Linked DNA regions of Canis lupus familiaris. The protein of the gene in region 3 interacts with the protein of the main gene of each other region in a pairwise test. Links are inferred from orthologs where the notes say so. Each region holds a gene or a part of one and is shown on either strand. Other genes may lie near its edges.

Region 1 (5,352 bases), on a different chromosome or scaffold from region 3:
TTCAGCTCAGGGCATGATCCCAGAGTCCCAAGATCGAGTGCCCCATCGGGCTACTTGCAAGGGCCCTGCTTCTCCCTCTCCCTCTGTCTCTCTCATGAATGAATAAATAAAATCTTAAAAAAGAACTTTTTAAAACCAGGGAAAACACCAGATATTTTCAATGATCCTCTTGGAGTTTATTTTAGGCAATTTTTTTTTAAAGTAAACTCTACCTCTAACGTGGGGCTTGAACTCTCAGCCCTGAGATCAAGAGTCACATGTTCTACTGACCGAGCCAGCTGGGCCAGCTGGGTACCCCTGAGGTGATTTTTAAGCTATAGGTTATAAAATATTTAAGCTGAGGAAAGAGAAGGGAAGTAATGCTTTATTCCATTTATCTAAGAAAAGTTTAAAAAATCCTCCCCAAGCTCCTGCTCTAGAGATTAAGGAGTGCTGAATATTCCATTTTCTAAACAAGAAAGTCTTTCACAGAATACCATGGTCACTTGTTGGAATTCCAGGATGAACCTTTGAATGCTACTGGGGGTACGGTATAGTCTTCCATTCATACTTTTAGGTGAATCCAACCCAGAAGGTCTAAGAAACCCTTTCTCATCTGTTGGGCAGAAGCCAAAATGTGGCCAAGAGTCCTAGCCTCAGCAACACCCCCCATAAACAGCGGTTCATAGCCTCACGTTTACCTTACGCACTTTGCCAGGCCTGTTAGGTGTCAGGCCTTGCCGCTTGTTGGGGGTTCGGGGAATACTGCCATAGAGCATCTCTGTCTCTGTCTGCTTCTTGTTCTTGAGTTGCTGTGTGTCAAAGTCAGAGGCAATAGTGATAAATCTCAGGAAGGGAACAAGTGTGAGATGGGACAAAACAGGGCCAGAAATCTAGTGCCAAGTCCCTATACCCGGGGCTACGTCTTCAGCCACCCCACACCCATGACAGAGACCCTGGGCTGTTCACATCCCACTGTCCCCTCGTCCCACACTGTGCTCGCTCACTCTTTCTTGCTTGGCTCGTTCCTTCTCCAGTCGATGCATCTCCCATTGTTCCATCACATACTCCATGAATTTCTGTCCATTCACCACAAATGCCTTCGAATGCTCCTGTTCCCATGTTTCAATCCGTGCCTTCAACTCCTCTTCCAACTGAGACCACAGACAAGGACATGCTAATTATTTCAACTCTTTGATATAAATATAAAGCCTGAATGAAATGATTCTCCCAAAGGAAGACGCCGCCCCAGAGCACCATGAGCCAAACGAACTTCAGGTTGCTAGACCCACATGAGTAGAGGTCAGAGTGACCAGGAGGCAAAGCCTAGGGATAGTTTATTCATAACACATGAAGGTGGGAAAGGGCAAGAACCCATAGTCTAACTCGGGTTTTGGCACCTAAAGCTGGAGGCAGCACTGGGGAAGATGAGCAGCATGAAATAGGCAGTGTATGTTAAGAGCACCACTATCCAGGTTCCGACCTGATCTACTGCTTATTGACTATGAAAAGGTGAGCAAGTTACTTAAGTTCTCAGGGCCTCCATTTCCTCATCTACAAAAATGGAAATGATACCAATTCCATAAGGATGCTGTGACAACTAAATGAATAAATAAATGGAAAATATTCTGCAATAGTATCTGGTACTTAATTCAATAAATGCTAACAATTATTATTAAAATAGACAACAGGAGGGGTGCCTGGGTGCCTCAGTTAGCTGGTACCTGCCTTCGGCTTGGGTCATGATCTCTGGGTCTTGGGATTGGGCCCTGTGTCAGGCTCCCTGCTCAGTGAGGAGTCTGCTTGTCCCTCTCCCTTCCCCCATCCCCCCGTGCACTCTCTCTCTCTGATAAAATCTTAAAACAACAACAACAACAACAACAACAAAAAAACATAATGAAGCTCACAGCACTTTTTCAAAAGCTTGCCTATGTTATGGGCTGAATTGTACCCTCCTCAAATTCATGTTTAAGCCCCTACCACCCCCAGTACCTCAGAATGTGGCTTTTTTGGACATACATGTAATGAAGTTAAAATGAAGTCATTTGGGGAAAAAAAATAAGATCATTTGGGTGGGTCCTAATCCAACATGACTGGTGACCTTAAGAGAAAATATGGACATAGATACATAGAGAAGAAAGGTCATGTTGGGATGCCTGGGTGGCTCAGCAGTTAAGCATCTGCCTTTGGCTCAGGGCCTAGGCCCAGGGTCCTGGGATTGAGTCTCACATCAGGTTCCCTGCTTCTCCCTCTGCCTATGTCTCTGCCTCTTTGTGTTTCTCATGAATAAATTAAAAAAAAAAAAAAAGCCATATGAAGATACAGGGAGAAGGCAAATCATCCACAAGTCGAAGAGGCCTCAGAAGAAACCAACCATATTGATAGTTGATCTCAGACTTCTAGCCTCCAGGATTGTGAAAAAATAAATTTCTGTTGTTTAAGCAATCCAGGCTGTGGCACTTTGCTATGGCAGCCATAAAAAGCCAATAAACCGTGATATTCAAGGCTTACACCAGGAAGGCTCGGTATATACTTACCACCCTCGCCTAAGCACTGGAAGAGAAGACAGTTCTGGGGCAAGACAATTCAAAGCAAAGGATATACAAAAAGGTATTTTGTAGCCAAGCACCAAAAACTCTCAGCGGCAGTTATTACCTTAGGAAGTGTTTTTTGAAGCTTGGCTCGTTGCTTTTCTTCTTTTAGAAGATTTCCTCCACGGTTTGTAAATCGACTTGGATCTGAAGCCTTTCTCTGTGAAAAATACCTTTTAATTAGAGTAAGCCCTGAGAGAGTCAGACTAGTTACTTCTGCTAAGATTCCCTGTTGTCAAACTAACACATATTAAGGAGACTCTCAGTTTTACGTTCCCATCCATTGTCAGCGATGAGAAACTGTGGTGTTCTAAGAGAAGAGAGTGGGGTGTGAGTACTATAGGCATATGCAAGATCATCCAATGGCATGTAGGAAAAGTACTGTTTCCTTTTTAATCTAAAAGTATGATAGGAAGTGCCTGGGTGGTTCAATCAGTTAACCGTCTGCTTTTAGCTCAGGTCATGATCACAGGGTTCCTGAATCGAGACCCTCGTCAGGCTCCCTGCTAGCAGGGAGTCTGTGGCGGCTGCTGCTTCTCCCTCTCCCTCTCCCCCTGGCTTATGCTCTCTCCTTCTCTCTCAAATAAATAAGTAAAATCCTTAAAAAAAATAAATAATATACGCTTTAACGTGTAATGCACAATGTCATTGGTTCCCTCCCTTGGTTCTAATGTCAAAGATGACTGTCAGTTATAGGGAATGAGACATGTGGAGGGACAAGGGAGAGGTCTACACTCAGGAGGGCTTAGGGTGGCACCCCTACTTGCCCACTCACTCCTAGCATATTGACAATGCAGCTTAAATGTGCCCAGTTAAGAGGCTGATAATCTGGTTTTTATGAAATCAACACTCACAAAATGGGCAAGTAAAAATGTAAAGTGTTAGGCTTCTTTTCCACTTCTTGTTACTGTATCGTGTATACAGTGTATCACAACGGTATTTAAGCCTGTAATTTGTATATATAAATTAGGTTTACACACTCAAAAAGCAGAGCAGATCATCAGAAAACCAGAAACAATCTTGACAATTTGGAGGCAAAGCCTATGAAGAAATTGTTTCCCATCAAGACCGCTTGATTGGTGAATGCCTATAAACACTAACTGAAGGGGATGGCAATTTGTTTCTGATTTTTCCCTAAATACTGGCATGTCAATGAGACCCTTCCTTCTTGCTTTCAACCACAAGTTAAGGAGTAGCTGAGGGCTAGAACATCTGTTCTCAAGCAGCTGTAAGACCTCATACAGCTCTCTCCATTTGAATCCTAGTTTCTAGCCTGTGACTTTGAAGGGATTGACTGATTCTCTAACGGCCTCTTCAAGCTCAGAGTGAGTTTCTTCTCCCCTACAAGTCTCGTCTGGCTTATCCAAGACCCAGCCCCTAGCTCTGAAAAGTTCAGAGGGAAGCTATGAGTACCAAGTCTGTCAGAAAAAATGGAATTCAGACTATAGAAATGTGCCCTAACACTTAGAAAGGCAACTTTCTAAGAAGACCACGAAGTTGGAATGTAAGCATATTACGAACTACCTGCCCCAACATTCACTATCTCCTTCCTTGGTACGGAGAACCTGAATTTATCTGTGGTAGCAGCTCCCCCAGCCTCAGCAGCAGCTGGTGTGCAGGCAGAGGTGCTGGAAGAGCCCTCAGAGGGGCTGGAGGGTCAATACTCAAAGTGCAACAGTAAGAGTTCTAAAGTCACCGTGGACCTGAGGATAATGTTCACCTCTCAGTGGGTGGGGAGCCATGCATGGGCTGGAGAAGCCTGGGGCACCCCTGGCTGTGAAACAGCCATACCTGCCCTGGACTTCCTACATGCAAGGAATGCTACTTTCCTGAAGGCACTGATGGTATTCTGTGTCCCACGTACAAGCTTCACAAATACAGAGGAGTTAGTGGTAATTCAGAGACTTCGTGATAAAGACAGGGTGTGAGAACCCTGGCAGAGAGCAAAGGAGAATGCACCCTGGCTCCGTGCAGGCTAGGCCTTAACAACTGATTATGGACTCCATGGAAACAGAAGCTGGGGTGGTACCTCAAACTCCAAGAAAAGCCTCCAGCTTTCTTCCCACTTCTGGACACCTTCAAAGAGTTCTTTGTGGACCTCATAGTAGTTTTTTAACCGCACAATCTCAGCATCATGGAGCTGGAGCAGATTTTCCGTGTAGTCCTCTGCGAGATACAGACCCAGTAGTTTACAAAAATTCTAGCGTTTAGTAGCCCAATTTACTAGTCCCTCATTTCAACTTCCTTCTTCCTTATAGTAAAAGTGACACATGCAGTAAGTATAGACTGCAGATGATAAAGCCAGCCCTATCACATGATCAACCTGGGGAAGGGGCACTAAGGGCTAAGGTATGGGCTAAGACTCTCAAAGCTTTAGGGCATCTCTGACCTTGTTCTAGGTCTCCTTCATATTCTTTCTTTCCATCCTGCTCACAGAAAATGTCTAAAAATTTAGTAGACAATCTCATCTTTATACTCAGTTCAGGCCAGACCAGAATTCCGTTTAGCTCCTGGGAATGAACTCCATGGGCTCAGATGTGGGCTTTGCTATTTACTTGCTACATCCCTCTGGGTTAAGTTGCTGAACATTTATGTACTTTCATGTCCTCACCTCTTGCCATGAGGATTCACTGAGCCTGGCATAGAGTAAGCACCTGATAGACGAGCCTCACAACTACAGACTGTGGTGATTTACTATATCAGAAATCAAGAGACCCTTTGCTAGAAGCATCTGCAAATGTTAATTATACAGGAATGGCAGTTTATGCTAAAAGGCTTGAAA
Region 2 (5,352 bases), on a different chromosome or scaffold from region 3:
GTAGAGAAAACAAAGCTAAAGACATAGAGTGAGGGAGGTAATGATTGGTGGAGTGATGTCCTGAACCAGAACAGGAATCACAGATGGCAGGAATCTGCAAGAGAAGAGACAGCACTTCCCTGATACACAGGGTAAGGAAATGGTGTGTGAATTCAGAGAGAGAGAAATTTGTTTTTAGATGTGGGACTAAAAATTAAAGGAACTTATTCTTGGTGACCTCTGTTTTCTCTGAAAGTAGATGCAGTGGAGGAATGTAAAGAGAAGAGGCTAGGAGGAAGAAAGGTAGGCTCCAATCAGATGACAACTTTCTGCTGTGGATGAGGCAGTCATAGAAGTAAATAATCTTGTAATCATTAAGTACTGTGGCTCCTCAATATTCATTAAAACATATTTGTTAAGTACCTCCTAGGGAGCACTATGACTTACATATCCCCATGGAGGGCCTCACACTGCAACTGCTATGCATGTACTGACTGAATTTGAATCCTGCCCCTACCACTTAATCAGTTCTGTGGCCTTAAGCAACTTACTTGACTTCTTTTTGTTTTGTTTCCTCATCCATAAGATGGAAAATGATAATACTATAACATAGGATTGAAGGAGTATTAAATAGGTAATATTTTTAAAGTATTTAAAATAAGAGCCCAGGATATAAGCATTATATAAATAGTTGCTAATCTTATAATTATTATCTATAAATATTAAAACTTTTTTTTTAAGATTGTATTTATTTATTCATGAGAGACACAGTGAGAGATGCATAGATATAGGCAGAGGGAGAAGCAGGCTCCCTTCAAGGAGCCTGATAGGGGACTCGATCCTGGATCCCAGGATCACACCCTTGAGACAAAGGCAGATGCTCAACCACTGAGCCACCCAGGTGTCCCATATTAAAACTTTTTTTTTAAGATTTTATTTATTTGTTTGTTCATTCATTCATCCATCCATCCATTCATTCATGAGAGACACAGAGAGAGCGAGAGAGAGGCAGAGACACAGGCAGAGGGAGAAGCAGGCTCCATGCAGGGAGCCTGACATGGGACTCGATTCCGGGTCCCCAGGATCACACCCCGGGCTGAAGGCAGCACTAAACTGCTGAGCCACCCGAGCTGCCCTCAAAACTATAAAATAAAATTTGCCTCTGATGTTTCAGGACCTTTTTTTTTTTTTTTTTTAAAGATTTTATTTATTCATGAGAGACGAGAGAGGCAGAGACATAGGCAGAAGGAGAAACAGGCTCCCTGTGGGGAGCCTGATGAGAGACTTGATCCCAGTAGCCCAGGATCATACCCTGAGCCAAAGGCAGACATTCAACCACTGGGCCACTCAGGTGTCCCCTCAGGACCTTGTTTGTGTGTATTTTGCAGTTTATGATGTCTCTGGAGCAGCAAGTGACAGAAATTGCGTAGTCCTCAGTGATATTCACATCGACATCATGGACTATATCCAGCCTGCCACTTGCACTGATGCTGAATTCCGTCAGATGTGGGCTGAATTCGAATGGGAAAACAAAGTGAGTCCTTGGGAGATTTCCTTCAGCTTCTTATCTTACTTTTTTGGCTAGTGTTGGGGATTATCTGATAAAATTAGTCCCACTAAAAAGTCTCAGATGTGAGAAGCAGCTTCTCGGTATCTATTCTTGCAAATTAGCCTTAACCATGCAAGTTAATTATGTGAGTAGTATGGTAAGTTGTTTTAAACTGATTAGAGTAACAGTTGTATAATTTTTTTTTTAAGATTTTATTTATTCATGAGAGACCTAGAGACAGGGAGGCTGAGACATAGGCAGAGGGAGAAGCAGGATCCCTGCAGGGAAGCCTGATGTGGGATTTGATCCCGGATCCCAGGATCATGCCCTGAGCCAAAGGCAGGGGCTAAACCGCTGAGCTACCCAGGTGTCCTTGTATGATTAATCTGATAGATACAGACATTAAAGACAATATACCATCCCTTGTATGTGTGAATAATAACTTACCATTGAATCCGTGTCCAGAAGAGGTTTTGCAAAGTCAGTGTCCTTGATTTTTGTTAGAAATATTTAAATGCAGCATGGTGATCTTTTATGAAGTGATCTATGTATGAAAGTTCTGATACCAACTTGCAGCTTGCTGGATTTTGCAAAAGATGTCATTTGCTTTTTTGTTGCCCACCCTCCCCACCAAATACTTGGAAGGAGGTTCCATATGACATATAAGTCTGTTTTCTCAACTCTAAGATCAGAAAACCAGAACTTTCTCCTTATAAGGATTATGATCTCTTTGACTTTTTTCTCCCTCTATACAGGTGACGGTTAACACAAATATAATCGATTTAAATGACTACTTACAGCATATATTAAAGTCAACCAACATGAAATGCCTCACTCCAGAGAAGGTAAGATTTGATTGAGAACTTCTTAAATCTGATAGAGAGTAGTATGGCAGGTTCCTGGCTTTCTTGTATTCCCTTTAGTGGGTTTTTGTTACTGTTCAGTGTGAGAAAAGCAGTGTCATTCTAGACTCGCTATTATGAGACGTTATCCCACACCTACCTCTTTCACATACCAGCCTCCTTGCTCCTAGTGCAGGGAACCAATTGAATAGTCATTCGTTTTTCTTTTCAGTCTTCCTTTCAGCTAAAGAAAGACTCATTCCAAAATAGGTTTTGATACTGAATTAAAAAATGTCCATGACCTCTTCTCTTGGCTCTGATTATGGGTCGGAATATATCTGTTCAGATATAGGATTTTCTACTAAGTTCTGTATATATGAAAAAAAAAAAAAAGACTAGAAAAAAGAAAAATGAAGATGAGACTCTAAAGAATTTTTTTCTTTGTAGAATTCCTGCTAATGCTAATTTTATCAGTGAAATTCTGCCAAATGGGTTTTAATTCATATATTAGTTTATTCAACAGATAGTCTAACAAATACACAAACATCATATGCCCAGTACTCTCTGAGCTACTGGATATACAGTAATGAACAAAATAAAAATTGTCTCTCCTTTATGGAGCTTAAGGTCTGGTGCAAACAACTCTGTAAGTAAACAGGGAATGTATAAATACAAACTGAAATAAGTGCTATTTCTTTAAAGTCATTTTTATTGGGGTATAATATAGACACAGTAATATTCACACCTTTTACACATACGATTCTCTGAGTTTTGACATGTTATGTAGTCATATAACCACCATCATATGGTAAGTCTTTATTTTAAAGGATAATTTACCTATGCTGGTGGGTCTTGCTTATGTGTGGTTCTCTAGAGAAGTTCTGAATATATCATAAATTTCTTCTAGGCTCTTTCTGGTTACTGTGGCTTTATGGCAGCCAACCTGTATGCTCGTTCCATATTTGGAGAAGATGCACTTGCAAATGTCAGCATTGAGAAGCCAATTCAACAGGGACCAGAGGCCCCTGTTACTGGCCACATAAGAATTCGTGCAAAGAGTCAGGTAATGGTTGGGTTTTGTTTGTTTGTTTGTTTTTGAGATCATCTCTGAACTGAACAAAAAGTTTAATTCTTCATTATTTCTATGTGTAGCATTCTCTGTCATACTAGTGTTGTATGTGTTAGATGCATATATATAATAATAATATTCTCTGAACAGAAATAGAACTTTTGCTTAATTAAAATGGCCCACTTTTTGGGCCTGTCATTCTGGATTATTCGCTTAAAACAATATTGATTCCCATAGGCTGTGAAATGATTCTCTAAAGTTTTTTGAATGAAATCCAAGCTCAGATCTAGTGACTATTTGTAAATCTAGCACTAAAAGTATTTAACAAAGTAAAGTTTTAGTGAGTCTGTTTTGTACCTCCTTGTTTTCTTTATTGATGTGGTGCCATTGAATGGGGGCTTGGTTAAGATAGAATAACCTACTGGTTTTATGTAATTTTAACAATTATAAACATTTGCATTTTTCCTTACAGGGAATGGCCTTAAGTCTTGGAGATAAAATCAACTTGTCTCAGAAGAAAACTAGTATATAAGAATAAATAAAAAGTCCTTGCAGCTTTACAGTAAAATTTAGGTATGGGCTTATTGGACTCCAACATCTTTTGTACTCTTTCATGCTTTATGTTCTATAGAATCTGAATTCATGCTGAATGCATTCCAGCCTATAATTTATAGCCTTTCCCTTAAATCAAGATTGACTTTAAAATTATAGTTTGTCTTTTGTCTTAACAATTCTGAATGCTGTCCTCAAAGTATATAATGTTTCTCACATGTACCAAGACCATTTTCACAGTACAATAAACAGATCTATTCCTAAATCTTTTGTTATTTTATAAATAAATATAATTACCTAATTTTAGTTATGTAGCAATGGATTTCTTATAGTTTGGTTATAGGTTTCTACTATAAATTTAAATCACTCTGAGTTGTACATATACAAACTTTGTTAAAGAATTTACAAATTCAGTGATACAAATTGAGACAGACCTTGACTTACTTGATTGATTTTTACTTGTTTACTATTTCGACATCAGTATCTCTAAAAATGACTTACTGTGTTCCTAGGGCTTTTCTCTGGAATTGAGCTCTAGGAGGAAGTATCAAATAACTTGAGACAACAGATCCATCTTCAGTTTAAAAGAGTATTATGAGCCCTGACTTAAATAAACATACTCTTCTTAATGATCCTGAATCATAATGAAGAGTAATAAACCAAAGTAGATCTTTCAATCATTCACATTTAGCTCGGAGTCTTATTTTGTTTGTGGAATTATATTTGCTGCACCCAGTTACTGAGACTGCCCTGGGAGGATTCAGCTCGAGGGAATTCAGAAAGCTGTGCTGTGCCCATGTCTCCTCTGAACCTTACTCATCCCTCCCTTTTTCTTCCTTTACACCAGGGCTTGGGCACATTTGCCTCTTGATAGGATTCCACGTGGCTCTCTGTACTGAGTTCCCTAGAGCCTAATTGTGCTGTCCTTTTGGTCCTTGCCTTCCTTGGGGATGATGGAGGTAGTCTGATCTTTTAGCTAAGTCTGTACATTGAACTATTACGCTTTGTATTTGAGCTAGGCTTCAGGCTACAGTCAGGATGTGTCCACAGATTAGTTCTGTGAAAGAGTGAAAGCAGCATCTCTTATTTCGGCACTTGAGAGTGAAATGATTTGTTTGGAGCATAAAAGAGATTGATACCTTGTATGATGTCATAAACTTTGAAGCCACTTGCTTTTTTAATCAGAAAGACCCAGAGGATTACAAGACATTTGAGATTCCCTGGTGCTGAGGTCTCAAAGCCAAGTCATTGGCTACCGACGGGGAAGATACTAGGAATGAAGAAAGGGGTCAGTTTGATAAACATTAAGTCAAATGCTGCAGATTTATGATGAGAGCAGAGGAACTGATGAAACTTTAGAT
Region 3 (5,352 bases):
AGAGGAGTTAGATGAAGTCCAAAGAGAAGACATTCAAGTTATTTATATTCCAAGATTACTTTGTAGGTAGCATATACGCAACTCAGAAACTTTTTGTATAAAAAAAAATGTTATAAAATAATGCTTTGAATCTTGATTCCTGAAAGGGTTAAGTAAAGATATCTTAAATCAGAAAAGGCCCCAAACCTCACTAGCTACAACTGGCATTCCAGCAATTCCAAAAGTATATTCAGGGGACGCCTGGGTGGCTCAGTGGCTGAGCATCTGCCTTCGACTCAGGGCATGATCCCCCATCCAGCGATCTAGTCCTGCCTTGGGCTCCATGTAGGGAACCTGCTACGCCCTTTGCCTATGTCTCTGCCTCTCTGTCTCTCATGAATAAATGAATAAAATCTTAAAAGAAAGAAAAAAAAAGTATATTCAGTACTTAAATGTTTGAAACTTGTATCACATTTCCCCATATAAATAATAAGTGGTAAATAACTCAACCAAATCTGTTTGACCTATAAAGTATCTGAAGAGTAGTGTTAAATATCACTCTTGCAATTCTGTAGAGTTCTACTTCAAGACATCAGAAATAGTTCATTCATTGGTAGCAGAAACTCTCCCAAAAGCTGAGGGTCCAAAGAATGACTCAATGACTTTGTAAAAGTCAATACTATTTACAAGTCGATTATGGACTATATCAAACAGGCTTATTTAACTCATTCACAGATTTTCTGTTTCTGCATAAGAAAAGGCAATTTTCTGGTTCCAAATGTGGAACAGGCCAGGGGTTTGGATGCAAATTCCTCAGCTAGTTTGAAGTTGGTGAAACTGACTATAAATATATCTTCTCAAATTTTTAAATCTCGATAATCTCGATTATCGATCGAGATTAATCTCGATTAATTTATTTGTATTGTAAAAATACATATATTACATAAGATAGACTATACAATGGATAATGATCTTTCAGTCGTAGTCTTACCACTTCTTGAACTAAGCTGATCAGTTCCATGAGACGCCGACGAAGTTTAGCCACTTCTTCATTCACTTTAGTAACATGCTGTTCATAAATTTCTGCCAAAGGTTTAAAGGTATGTCCACCATGCTATTTAAATTAAGAATAGTTTTAGAACATTTTTTTTTACCTCAACCACTCATACTTCTTTATTAACACTTCGTGGATACTAAGAAACTAGTAAATATTTTCAAATGAATTTTTTTTTGGCTGTCTACTTTGTTAAAATCCACAAGAGCTTTCTCAAGATCACTTGGCCCATATAGGAAATCCTTAATGATTACAGATAAAGAATTTCAGGAAAACATTTACACTCATCTAGAAATCTGTATTCCTTAGAAAGAACCAAAATCTTTAACCATGGCTCAAACCATCTGACACAACTTTATTTGCCACTCTCTTCTTGGTCAGCACTAACTACCCTTTTTCATGTTTTCAAATTTCTTTTCACTAGGCCTTTGCAAAATTAACTCCTTCTGCTAGGTAGCTCAGTTGTTTGAGTGTCCAACTCTTGATTTCTGCACAGATCATGATCTTGGGGTCACGAGATTGAGCCCCACACTGGGTTCTGTGCTCAGCGTGGGGTCTGCCTGGGATTGTCTCTCCCACTCCCTCTGCCCTTCCCACTTGTGCCCACTCTCTCTAAAATGAATAAAGCCTAAAACAAAAAAAACCACAAAACCTTACTATTAACAGGTAAGTTCTTAGCATTGTCTTGTTTAACAAAAGCACCCAACCATGGTCTCTAAAATAAAAAAGATGTAGATTTTTGTATGTCCACTTAAAATATAGAAAAGAATGTTCCCATTGCTTCTTACTAAATCCACATATTTAATTAAGTACTAAATTGTAAGAATTCAGTTTTTTCTACTCAGAACATTAGTACTCAAATCCTAGCAGAAAACTCTCTAAAATGAGCTCTACTGAACCATGTTGCCTGTCATTCTCTCCCTGAAATATGCTGATACCCAAAAAATGATCAATTCTTTTCTTTTTTTAAGTAGGTTCCAACTCAGTCTGAACTCATGACCTGAGCTAAGATCAGAAATCTGACACTTAACCAACTGAGCCACCCAGGTACCCCAAGAATGATCAATTCTTATTGCTAACAGCTATGTCTAGTTGTCTAGCAACTTCTGCTCCCACTACAACTAACTCTCCCCACCAAAAACCTATTGGGTTTGTTCTCAAGCCTATTTACATGAATTGCACCTAGTACATAGGTATACAATTTAAATATTAATTAAACAGTGAAACTGTGAAACAAAGGCTGTTTACAGGAAAACTGACTTGAGTGTTTTAGACTTGATAAAAGGTACAATGCCTTAAAAACTACTTTTGAATTAAACTGGAAAAAAGAAAAAAAAACCCATAAGATCAAGATGTTTGCGTTCATATTGTTTCACAAATATCTAAAATTGTTTCATTTGAAACTGAATCTGGAAATTGTGGCCAGGACATCAGATCAACTGTCCTTTAATCAGAAATAAGACTTTGATCCTACAATAAAAGATTTACAAATATACATTTTCTATTTTTCCAACTAAAATAATGTATTTATGTAAGCAATGCACATTCCAAATCTATATCTCCCACAAAAGAAGTTTATGGTGTATGTGATACCTTCTGCTACAAATCAGATGCATTTAAATTTCAATCTATAAGCAGAGTAAAATAATATTTTCTATCTAAATCTAACAAGTATTTTGGTGCTTTCCAGTCTCTAGCTAAAAGTAATATGCTAAATTTTTTCTGCTCACCATTCCTCCCCAAAGTGCACACTGATGGCAGATACACTTCTTACAAGTCCAGCAAAATACACTAAGCTTTTCATGGTGATTTTCACATCTATATATTATGAAAAGAAAATATAGCTTAAATTAATTAAAATTATATGATAATTACTGAATAAATTCCTAAGTTTAGAAAACAAGTTAATTTTAAACAGATTATAACTCAGGAAACAATATAAAATGCATTCCATGCTTCTATAAGCTAAAAAAAATCATATGTGAACACAAAATCTTTTAAACTATTGTTTTCATTAATTTATAAAGACTCTATACAATTGTGACAAATGCAGATTAATTTTTTTTATTTTTTAAAATATTTATTCATGACAGATACAGAGAGAGAGAGAGAGAGAGAGAGAGAGGCAGAGACACAGGCAGAGGGAGAAGCAGGTTCCATGCAGGGAGGCCAACGTGGGACTCGATCCCAGGTCTCCAGGATCACACCTCGGGCCAAAGGCGGTGCTAAACCGCTGGGCCACTGGGGCTGCCCAGATTAATTTCTAAATAAAGTGTAAATATAGCATCATTTCCTAGCATCACTGTAAGTTCTATCTTATAAACAAATCACGAGTCCATACCTACATGAACACATATACATATAAAAATATTTGTCCCACATGTGGCCAATGCTAACAATCAAGACACACACATAATATCATACTCTCATGAGAAATGAGCACTTCAATTTTAAAAAATGAATTTCCCCTTAAAATGGATATCCACGTGTAAAACATTAATTTGGACCTGGTTATAAACTGAATTGCATCCTCCCCAAATTCCTATGTTGAAGCCCAATATAAATGTACTTGGAGATAGGGTCTTTAAGGAGGTAAAGAAGGTTAAATGAGGTCCTAAAGGTGGAATCCTAACCGAACAAAACTGGTATCAGTCCGAGAAGAGGAAGATACCAGAAGTTTCACACACAGAGAAGAGGCCCTGTGAAGACACAGCAAGGAGGAACCCCACCATGTCAAAGAAAAAGGCCTCACCAGAAACCAAGTCGTTAATACCTTGACCTTAAACTTCCAAGCCCAATATTATGAGAAAATAAATGTATTATGTAAGCCACCCAGTCTGTGATATTGTTATGGCAGCCCTAGCAGACAAAAACCATTAGCTTTTAACATGCAAAATTTAACTTAAAATAGATAAAAGATCTAAAACTATGTAGCTCTTAGAAGAAAACATAGAGGAAAAGCTTTATGATACTGAATTTCAAAATTACTTCTTACTGACACCAAAAGCACCTGCAAGAGAGACAAAAATAAATAAAATGAACTACATCAAAATTTAAAACTGAGGGTGCCTGGGTGGCACGGTCAGTTAAGCATCCAACTCTTGGTTTCAGCTCAGTTTGTGATCTCATTGTCATGAGATCCAGCACAATGCTGGAGTGTGAAGTCTGTATAAGAGTGAGTCTGTCTGTCTGTCTCATCTGCCTCCCCTCACTTGTGCACTCTCTCTAAAATACAGATCTTTTTTACAAAATTAAAACTTCTGAGGGGATCCCTGGGTGGCTCAGCGGTTTAGCGCCTGCCTTTGGCCCAGGGCATGATCCTGGAGTCCTGGGATCGAGTCCTGCATCAGGCTCCCTGCATGGAGCCTGCTTCCCCTTCTGCCTGTGTCTCTGCCTTTCTGTGTGTCTCTCATGAATAAATAAATAAAATCTTAAAAAAAAATTAAAACTTCTGTACATCAAAGGACACAATAAACAGATTGGAAGGGCAATCTATGGAATAAGACTGTATTTGCAAAAAAAAAAAAAAAGACTATTTGCAAAGCATGTATCGATAAAGAGTTAATATCCAAAATAAAGAACTCTTACAACTCAACAAAAGAAAAAAAAAAACTTGATTAAAATACAGGCAAATTGGGATGCCTGGATGGCTCAGTGGTTGAGCGTGGACTTCAGCTCAGGGCGCGATCCCAGTCTGGGGATAGAGTCTTGCATTGGGCTCCCTGCGAGGAACCTACTTCTCCCTCTATGTCTCTGCTTATCTGTGTCTCTCATGAATAAGTAAATAAAATCTTTTAAAAATATATATGGGCAAATGACTTAACATTTTTCCCCAAAGATGTGCATATAATCAATAAGCATTACAAAGAGATGTTCAACATCCTAATCATCAGATAAATGTAAATCAAAACCACAAGATATTTCCTCATACTCATTAGGATGGCTACCTAGGGCAAAGATGGAGAAATTGGAATCCTGTACACTGTTGGTGGGAATGTAACATGATGCAGTTGCCATGGAAAACAGTATGGAAGTTCTTCAAAATATTAAAAACAGAATTCCATATAATTCAGCAATATCACTGCTGGTTGTATTTCCAAAAAAATGGATGCCTGGCTGGCTTAACCAATAGAGCAGAGCGTACAAGTCTTGATCTTGAGCCCCATGTTGTGGTGTAGAGATCACTTAAAAATCTTAAAAAGAAAAAATTGAAGGCAAGGTCTAGAAAAGATGAATACCTATGGTCACAGTAGCATTATTTACAATAGCCCAAAAGTGGAAGCAATCCAAATGTCCATGAATAGATGAACAGATAAACA
Region 4 (5,352 bases), on a different chromosome or scaffold from region 3:
TGAAATCAAGAGTTGGATGCTTAACCAACTAAGCCACCCAGGAGCCCCTCCATTTGATCTCTAATGGGAAGGAAGAATCTGGATTTTCAGTATAGTCTGCTGGTCATTCTAGGCATGGGGGCTGGTATTCAGAAATACTCTGGGTGCAAGTAACAGAGACTGACCAACAATGGCTTTAAACAAAGGGGATTTTCACTTTATTTACAAGAATTCTGAAGGAGTATGGCTGCCGGCATCAGCTTGGTCAAATGATGGTAGGGTAGGTCAGTGTCTGTGAGATTCTCTTGGCCTTTTTCTCATTGTAGCAAGGTGGCTGTTGGGGCTCCAGGCATCACATCCTCAATCAAGGCAGGAAGAATGGAGGGGCAGAGAGGTGTTACCCATGTCTGCCTCTTTTATCAGAAAAGCATAAACTTTCCCAGAAGCCCCTGTAAGACTGCCTCTTAAATTGCACTGGCCATACCTGGTCACTTGTCACCCCAAGCTGCAAAGGAAGCTGGAACAGTGGGAATTGGGATTTACAACCTCTACAGTGGGAGGCAACTGGAATGAAGGGGCTGGGACCGACCATGGGGAATGTACATGGGTGGCTGCCATGGTTCCACTAGACCATGTGGGGTTTCATCCCCATGGCTTGCCTTCTCCATGGAGCACCTCTGGGGGCCACTGAGTGAAGTCTCAAGCATTCTCTCTGAGGGGCCTACTCCGTCCTAGATGCTGTCTTGCTTCTCTTCATATGTCTGAACACCACACAGACTGCTGGGGAGACTTCTTTGGGGAAATGGTGGTCTTTATTTGGGGATTGTGCTTTAGCATTGCTCTCACCTGGCAGACATCTAAAATAGCATCACCACGTTCTCATTAAGACACGTTCAAGGGCCTTTTAGAGCCTCACTTACATTTATACACACACACACACAAGCACACAGCATGTCTATTTACACAATGGCTGGCACCCACGCATGAAAAGAGCAACATCTTTGGTCATCCTCAAACCACTCAGTTAGGAGTGAAGACCAGGATGACCCCTTTCCTCCTGAACGTCCCACTTTTGGTCCAAGAATAAAATAGCATTCCAGTGGCAGCTTTGTCCCCCCGCAGTTTTGAGGGGTGAAAGGAAATGCTTTTCTAGTACTGTCCTATCACCTTAAATGATAGGTTTGCAAAGTCAGAGGTGGGGATTTTATTCTTCATGGGGAGTGGGGAGGGCGGACACAACCAGCCTGGTTTATTCTCTGAATCTTTAACAATGGGATAGAAGCAAAATGTTGCAACACTTGGTCTCCTGTGGGGAGGGATTTTTGAGGAAGAGTAAGTGAATTCACTGGAGCTGGCTCAGGTAGTAGAAACCGAGTAGGGAGTTGGAGCAGGGGATGGAATTGCGGACTCAGAGGAGCCAGTCTGTAAGGGTAGCAGTGGGGTCTTCAGACCAGTGTTCATATTTCCAGAAACCCACTGGAAATCACTCTATATTTGTTCTCCGTAGGCTTTAGGAAAAGGTAAAACAAAACAAAACAAAAATTCCTTTTGGCTAGAGTTACATCAGAACAGTGTGGTAAGAAAATGCAGATTGGCAATGATATACCTCTCCAGTGTCAATGACAATTATGCAACCGATATATAATTTGCTCGGCAACTCTCTTCCAAGGTCTGGGGCCCTGGAAGGGGGTGGATTATGGAGAGCCCCTGGGGCTGCAGAGGCAGGGCACCCCCAGGGCAGAGATTCATGGCAGTTAGTTAGGGGGCAGAGGTGGCTTCAGGGATCATGTTTCCACTATTTACCATGTGTGGCTGCTTACAGTGTGGGCCTCAGACCAGCAGCCCAGGAGCTGGTTAGGAATGCGAACTCTCAGCCCCCACCCCAGATCGACTGAATCAGAAGCTGTACTGTAACAAGATCCCCAGTGATTCGCAGGCACAATAAAGTTTGAGAAGCACTGTTCTAGACTTCTGGGAGCAGGAAGGCTGCAGCCCTGGTTAGATGCCCTTACAAGGCCCAGACAGGGAGGTTTTGGAGAGGAGAGAGCGAAAGCATGGTGTAGGGGAAGCTGTCCTCGGTGGTGGTCTTGCAATCTGGCAGGAGGGAGCCCCAAGGCTGCCCGGTGGGCCGCCCCGCCCTTCCTCACCAGGGCAGCTGCACTTGAACCAGATTGCCCTCAGCTGGCTTTCAAGCTGACCTGCAGCACTTAGCTGCCCCACACCTGGCTGCAGGTAAACCACAGTCAGGGAAGTTTTCTGAGAGCAGGGCCCATGAGGCACGGGCAAAACGGAGGGCTAGTTGGGCCAAAGAGGTGCCTTTCTTTCCTTCCCAATTCTGCCAGAAAAATCTCAGCGGAGCTCAGAAGCCCCTTCAGGGAGAGGTGCCTTGGGAATGTTTTCTGAGCAGCAGCTTCCTTTTGGAGAAGCGGTGAATGCTCAGAAGGAAGAAGCTGGGAGCTTTGGGGCCCCCAGCTTCTTGGTGGGTGGGAAGGGGGGTCCAAGCCTGCTGGGGCATTTCACAAGAGTAAGCATGAACATCACAGATGGCCCGAGACTGGGGACCCAGGGCTGCTGGATACAGAAGGGCTGGAGGAGGGTGTGATGGCCTGGGAGGGGGGCGGTTTCGTGGACCAGAGCTTCCCCCACCTGGCCCTACAGGGCTCTCTCTTCACTGGTTATCGTGGTGATTCTCCGCAGGTTTTCCCTAACTTTGATAAATTCGGGGGCATGGTCCTCTTCCTTTTCTGGTGGATTTTCCAGCTAAAGGAGAGAAGAAGTAGAGGTGTAAAGTGGGTGTGGCTCGGGGGAATTCCTATTCCCCAAACCACTGTGTTTGGACCAAGGATCCTCTCTGGGGAAACAGAACCAGGGATCAGCTTTGCCACCAGCCTTGGTAGCTGGGGTGACCAGGCAGGAGACTAAGTTTTTGCTGTGAAGCCTGGTGCAAATCACTTGCCTCACCTGGGCCTCCGGTTCTTCATCTCTAAAATGGGAACGCTGCCTGGCTCGCAGACACATAGTGAGAATGAGATCAGGATCAGCGTGCAATCGACTGGGCTGATAAGGGAACCCAGGGTCAGGGAGGGAAAGCCACTGGTTCAGTCACACGGAGTGAGTGGCAGAGTGAGGACCTGAGCCCGTGGTGGACTGCTGGTTTAGGCCTCATTTTGCTTCATCTCCTCCCTCTTGCCAGCTGCGACCACAGGCAGGGCTCCTCCCTGGGCCAGGCTCCGCACCCACCTGGTTCAGCCTCTGCTGCCGTCTCAGCAGCTCCTGCTCAAAGGGGCACTGCAGCCTCTTGGCTTCTAGCTCTTCCTTCTTCTTCTTGATGAGCTGGTTCCGCCTGCGGTGCTCCAGGACACGCTGCAGCTCCGGCTTGCTGTCCACGCCCAGGCCCCTGGGTGGAGGGAGCCGTCAGGTGACCCCAACTCTCCCCTTGCCCCGCCCAGTCTCAGGGCTGCACCCTGTAGTGACACCTACCTATACCATCCTGTCAGTACAACCCTCCTGGCAGCCCCGGGAGGTAGTCCCATTCCTGTCCTGTTATCCGGAGATGGGAAATGAGGCTCCTAGGACTTAAGACACCAGTCCAGGTCACAGCTATGAAGGGGCTCAGCGAGCATGAGCACCCAGGCCCGTCTGACTGCAGAGGCCAGGTTCTGTGTTATTTCTGGTTACGTTCCCTGGATAAGTTTCTAAAGGTGGAATTGCTTTGTCAGGCTCTTTTTAAGGGTTTGGATATATATTTCCATCTGCCCCCTAGGAAAGGTTACCTAATTTATACTCTGTCATCAGTGTACAAGAGCATCTACTCCTCCCCACCATCACCATGCAGTCTTTTTATATTTTAGGATCTGGTAGGCAAGAAATAATACCTGGCTTTCATTTCTGTTTCTCTGATTATTAGTTACATGAACAACAGCCTTTGAGATGTGTACCAGACATTTGCATTTCTTTTGTAAACTGACTATACCCGCCTTTGTTCATTTTCTTCCTTATGGATTTATAAGTGATATGTATATATTTTTTGGTCTGTTTTGTATTGTAAATATAAATATAAATATAAATATAAATATAAATATGATTTGTCTTTTAGGCTTTTTTTTTCTATCGTGGGAGTATTTTTTTTACATTAAAAGGGATGACTCTAAAAAACATTCGGAGAAAATACACATGATATATATATACTAAGCAAGGAAAAAAGAACCCACTGTGCATACAAAATGACACCTGCTGGAAGGTCTTGCACAGAGCTGAAAATACGAGAATCCTAGCCTACGCCAACTCCAGAATGTGCCAGTAGAGGGAGCTGCGGAGGCGCCACGGCCTTCGGCCTGGTGCCAGCCAGCTGGGAGGTATTTCCCAGGCCTCCCCCACCTTCCTTCATTTGCTGAATTCCAGCCCTGCCATCTCAAGCCTGCTCTTTCACTGCACCCCTGCTCCACTCATGCCCCCTCTGTGATTCCTGCTTGAGACCCTTCCCTGGCCAGCACATCTCCTCTGGCCAACCTCAAAATCCATGCTGCAAACACCCTGAGCTACTTGTGTTTCCAGCCTATTTGCATATGCTCTTCCCTTTGCTGGGAACATACTTGCTTCCCCCCGCCGATGCCCACCTCCTAGTCTGGCTGACTCTTGCCCATCCTTCAGGTGTTAGCTGTTAGGGATCCTCTCCTCCGTGAAGTCACCTTGGACTACTCCTAGGTGCCTCCTCTGAGGTTCCAGGCCCATTTATGCCCTCATCATACTGCATGGTTATGCATCCATCCCCACTCTCAGGGCTGGAACTGGGTCCTGTTCCTTCTTGTATGCCAGGTCTGGATGCAGTGCCTGGCACATAGTAGGTGCTTAGTAAATGTTTGTGGAGGACAGGCATGAGTGGGTAGCTGGGAAGGAGGGCAGGGCTTTTGGGGGACCACTGGGGACTAGACTTTCACAGTTTCTGTGGGTGACTATGTGGGGTACACTCAGCCCTCTTCAGCCTCCAGGAGACCCAGCATGACCATCAGGCCTGCCTTCCACAAGAGGCACCTCCGCAAGCCGCAGCAGGCCTGAGGAGATGGTTGCCGGGCTGAGGCAACTGAGCTCTGTTCCTACCTTCTGTGGTTCATGAGTAGCTCTCTGTGGAGCTCCTGGTGACTCCGGGAGGCCTTCACAGGGTTCAGCAGCTTCTTGGGCTTGATGAGCTCTGGGTTCCACTCTCTATACTCGGGCCGGGCCATCAGGCTCCCGATGTCCGCTCGCTCTCTCTGGATCTCAGAGTACATCGAGGCTGTAGAGGCAGGAGGCAGGGGAGGGGTTGGTCAGAGCAGGATCTACAGTCTAACCCCTCCTAGGGGAGCCCCACAGCTGAAGGGTTTCTTTCTTTGTTTC

What was found.
Region 1: the proteins of TRIM37 (region 3) and PRC1 interact in binary tests that used the Homo sapiens proteins (3 or more experiments, as listed by UniProt). The link is inferred for Canis lupus familiaris from reciprocal best matches to the Homo sapiens genes TRIM37 and PRC1.
Region 2: the proteins of TRIM37 (region 3) and COPB1 interact in binary tests that used the Homo sapiens proteins (3 or more experiments, as listed by UniProt). The two-hybrid records come from large-scale screens. The link is inferred for Canis lupus familiaris from reciprocal best matches to the Homo sapiens genes TRIM37 and COPB1.
Region 4: the proteins of TRIM37 (region 3) and FAM107A interact in binary tests that used the Homo sapiens proteins (3 or more experiments, as listed by UniProt). The two-hybrid records come from large-scale screens. The link is inferred for Canis lupus familiaris from reciprocal best matches to the Homo sapiens genes TRIM37 and FAM107A.

The regions. Positions count from the first base shown.
Region 1 is NC_049224.1:53,755,933-53,761,284, reverse strand, and holds part of PRC1 (protein regulator of cytokinesis 1), read right to left. Parts: intron 4,737-5,352; coding exon 4,600-4,736; intron 2,731-4,599; coding exon 2,635-2,730; intron 1,134-2,634; coding exon 987-1,133; intron 792-986; coding exon 681-791; intron 1-680. UniProt on the Homo sapiens protein: Key regulator of cytokinesis that cross-links antiparrallel microtubules at an average distance of 35 nM. Essential for controlling the spatiotemporal formation of the midzone and successful cytokinesis.
Region 2 is NC_049242.1:37,791,326-37,796,677, reverse strand, and holds the end of COPB1 (coatomer subunit beta), read left to right. Parts: intron 1-1,367; coding exon 1,368-1,513; intron 1,514-2,283; coding exon 2,284-2,373; intron 2,374-3,277; coding exon 3,278-3,433; intron 3,434-3,911; coding exon 3,912-3,971; 3' UTR 3,972-4,297; downstream 4,298-5,352. UniProt on the Homo sapiens protein: The coatomer is a cytosolic protein complex that binds to dilysine motifs and reversibly associates with Golgi non-clathrin-coated vesicles, which further mediate biosynthetic protein transport from the ER, via the Golgi up to the trans Golgi network.
Region 3 is NC_049230.1:33,633,311-33,638,662, forward strand, and holds part of TRIM37 (E3 ubiquitin-protein ligase TRIM37), read right to left. Parts: intron 2,852-5,352; coding exon 2,764-2,851; intron 1,094-2,763; coding exon 971-1,093; intron 1-970. UniProt on the Homo sapiens protein: E3 ubiquitin-protein ligase required to prevent centriole reduplication. Probably acts by ubiquitinating positive regulators of centriole reduplication.
Region 4 is NC_049241.1:32,347,222-32,352,573, reverse strand, and holds the end of FAM107A (actin-associated protein FAM107A), read right to left. Parts: intron 5,252-5,352; coding exon 5,077-5,251; intron 3,377-5,076; coding exon 3,220-3,376; intron 2,740-3,219; coding exon 2,632-2,739; 3' UTR 171-2,631; downstream 1-170. UniProt on the Homo sapiens protein: Stress-inducible actin-binding protein that plays a role in synaptic and cognitive functions by modulating actin filamentous (F-actin) dynamics. Mediates polymerization of globular actin to F-actin. Also binds to, stabilizes and bundles F-actin.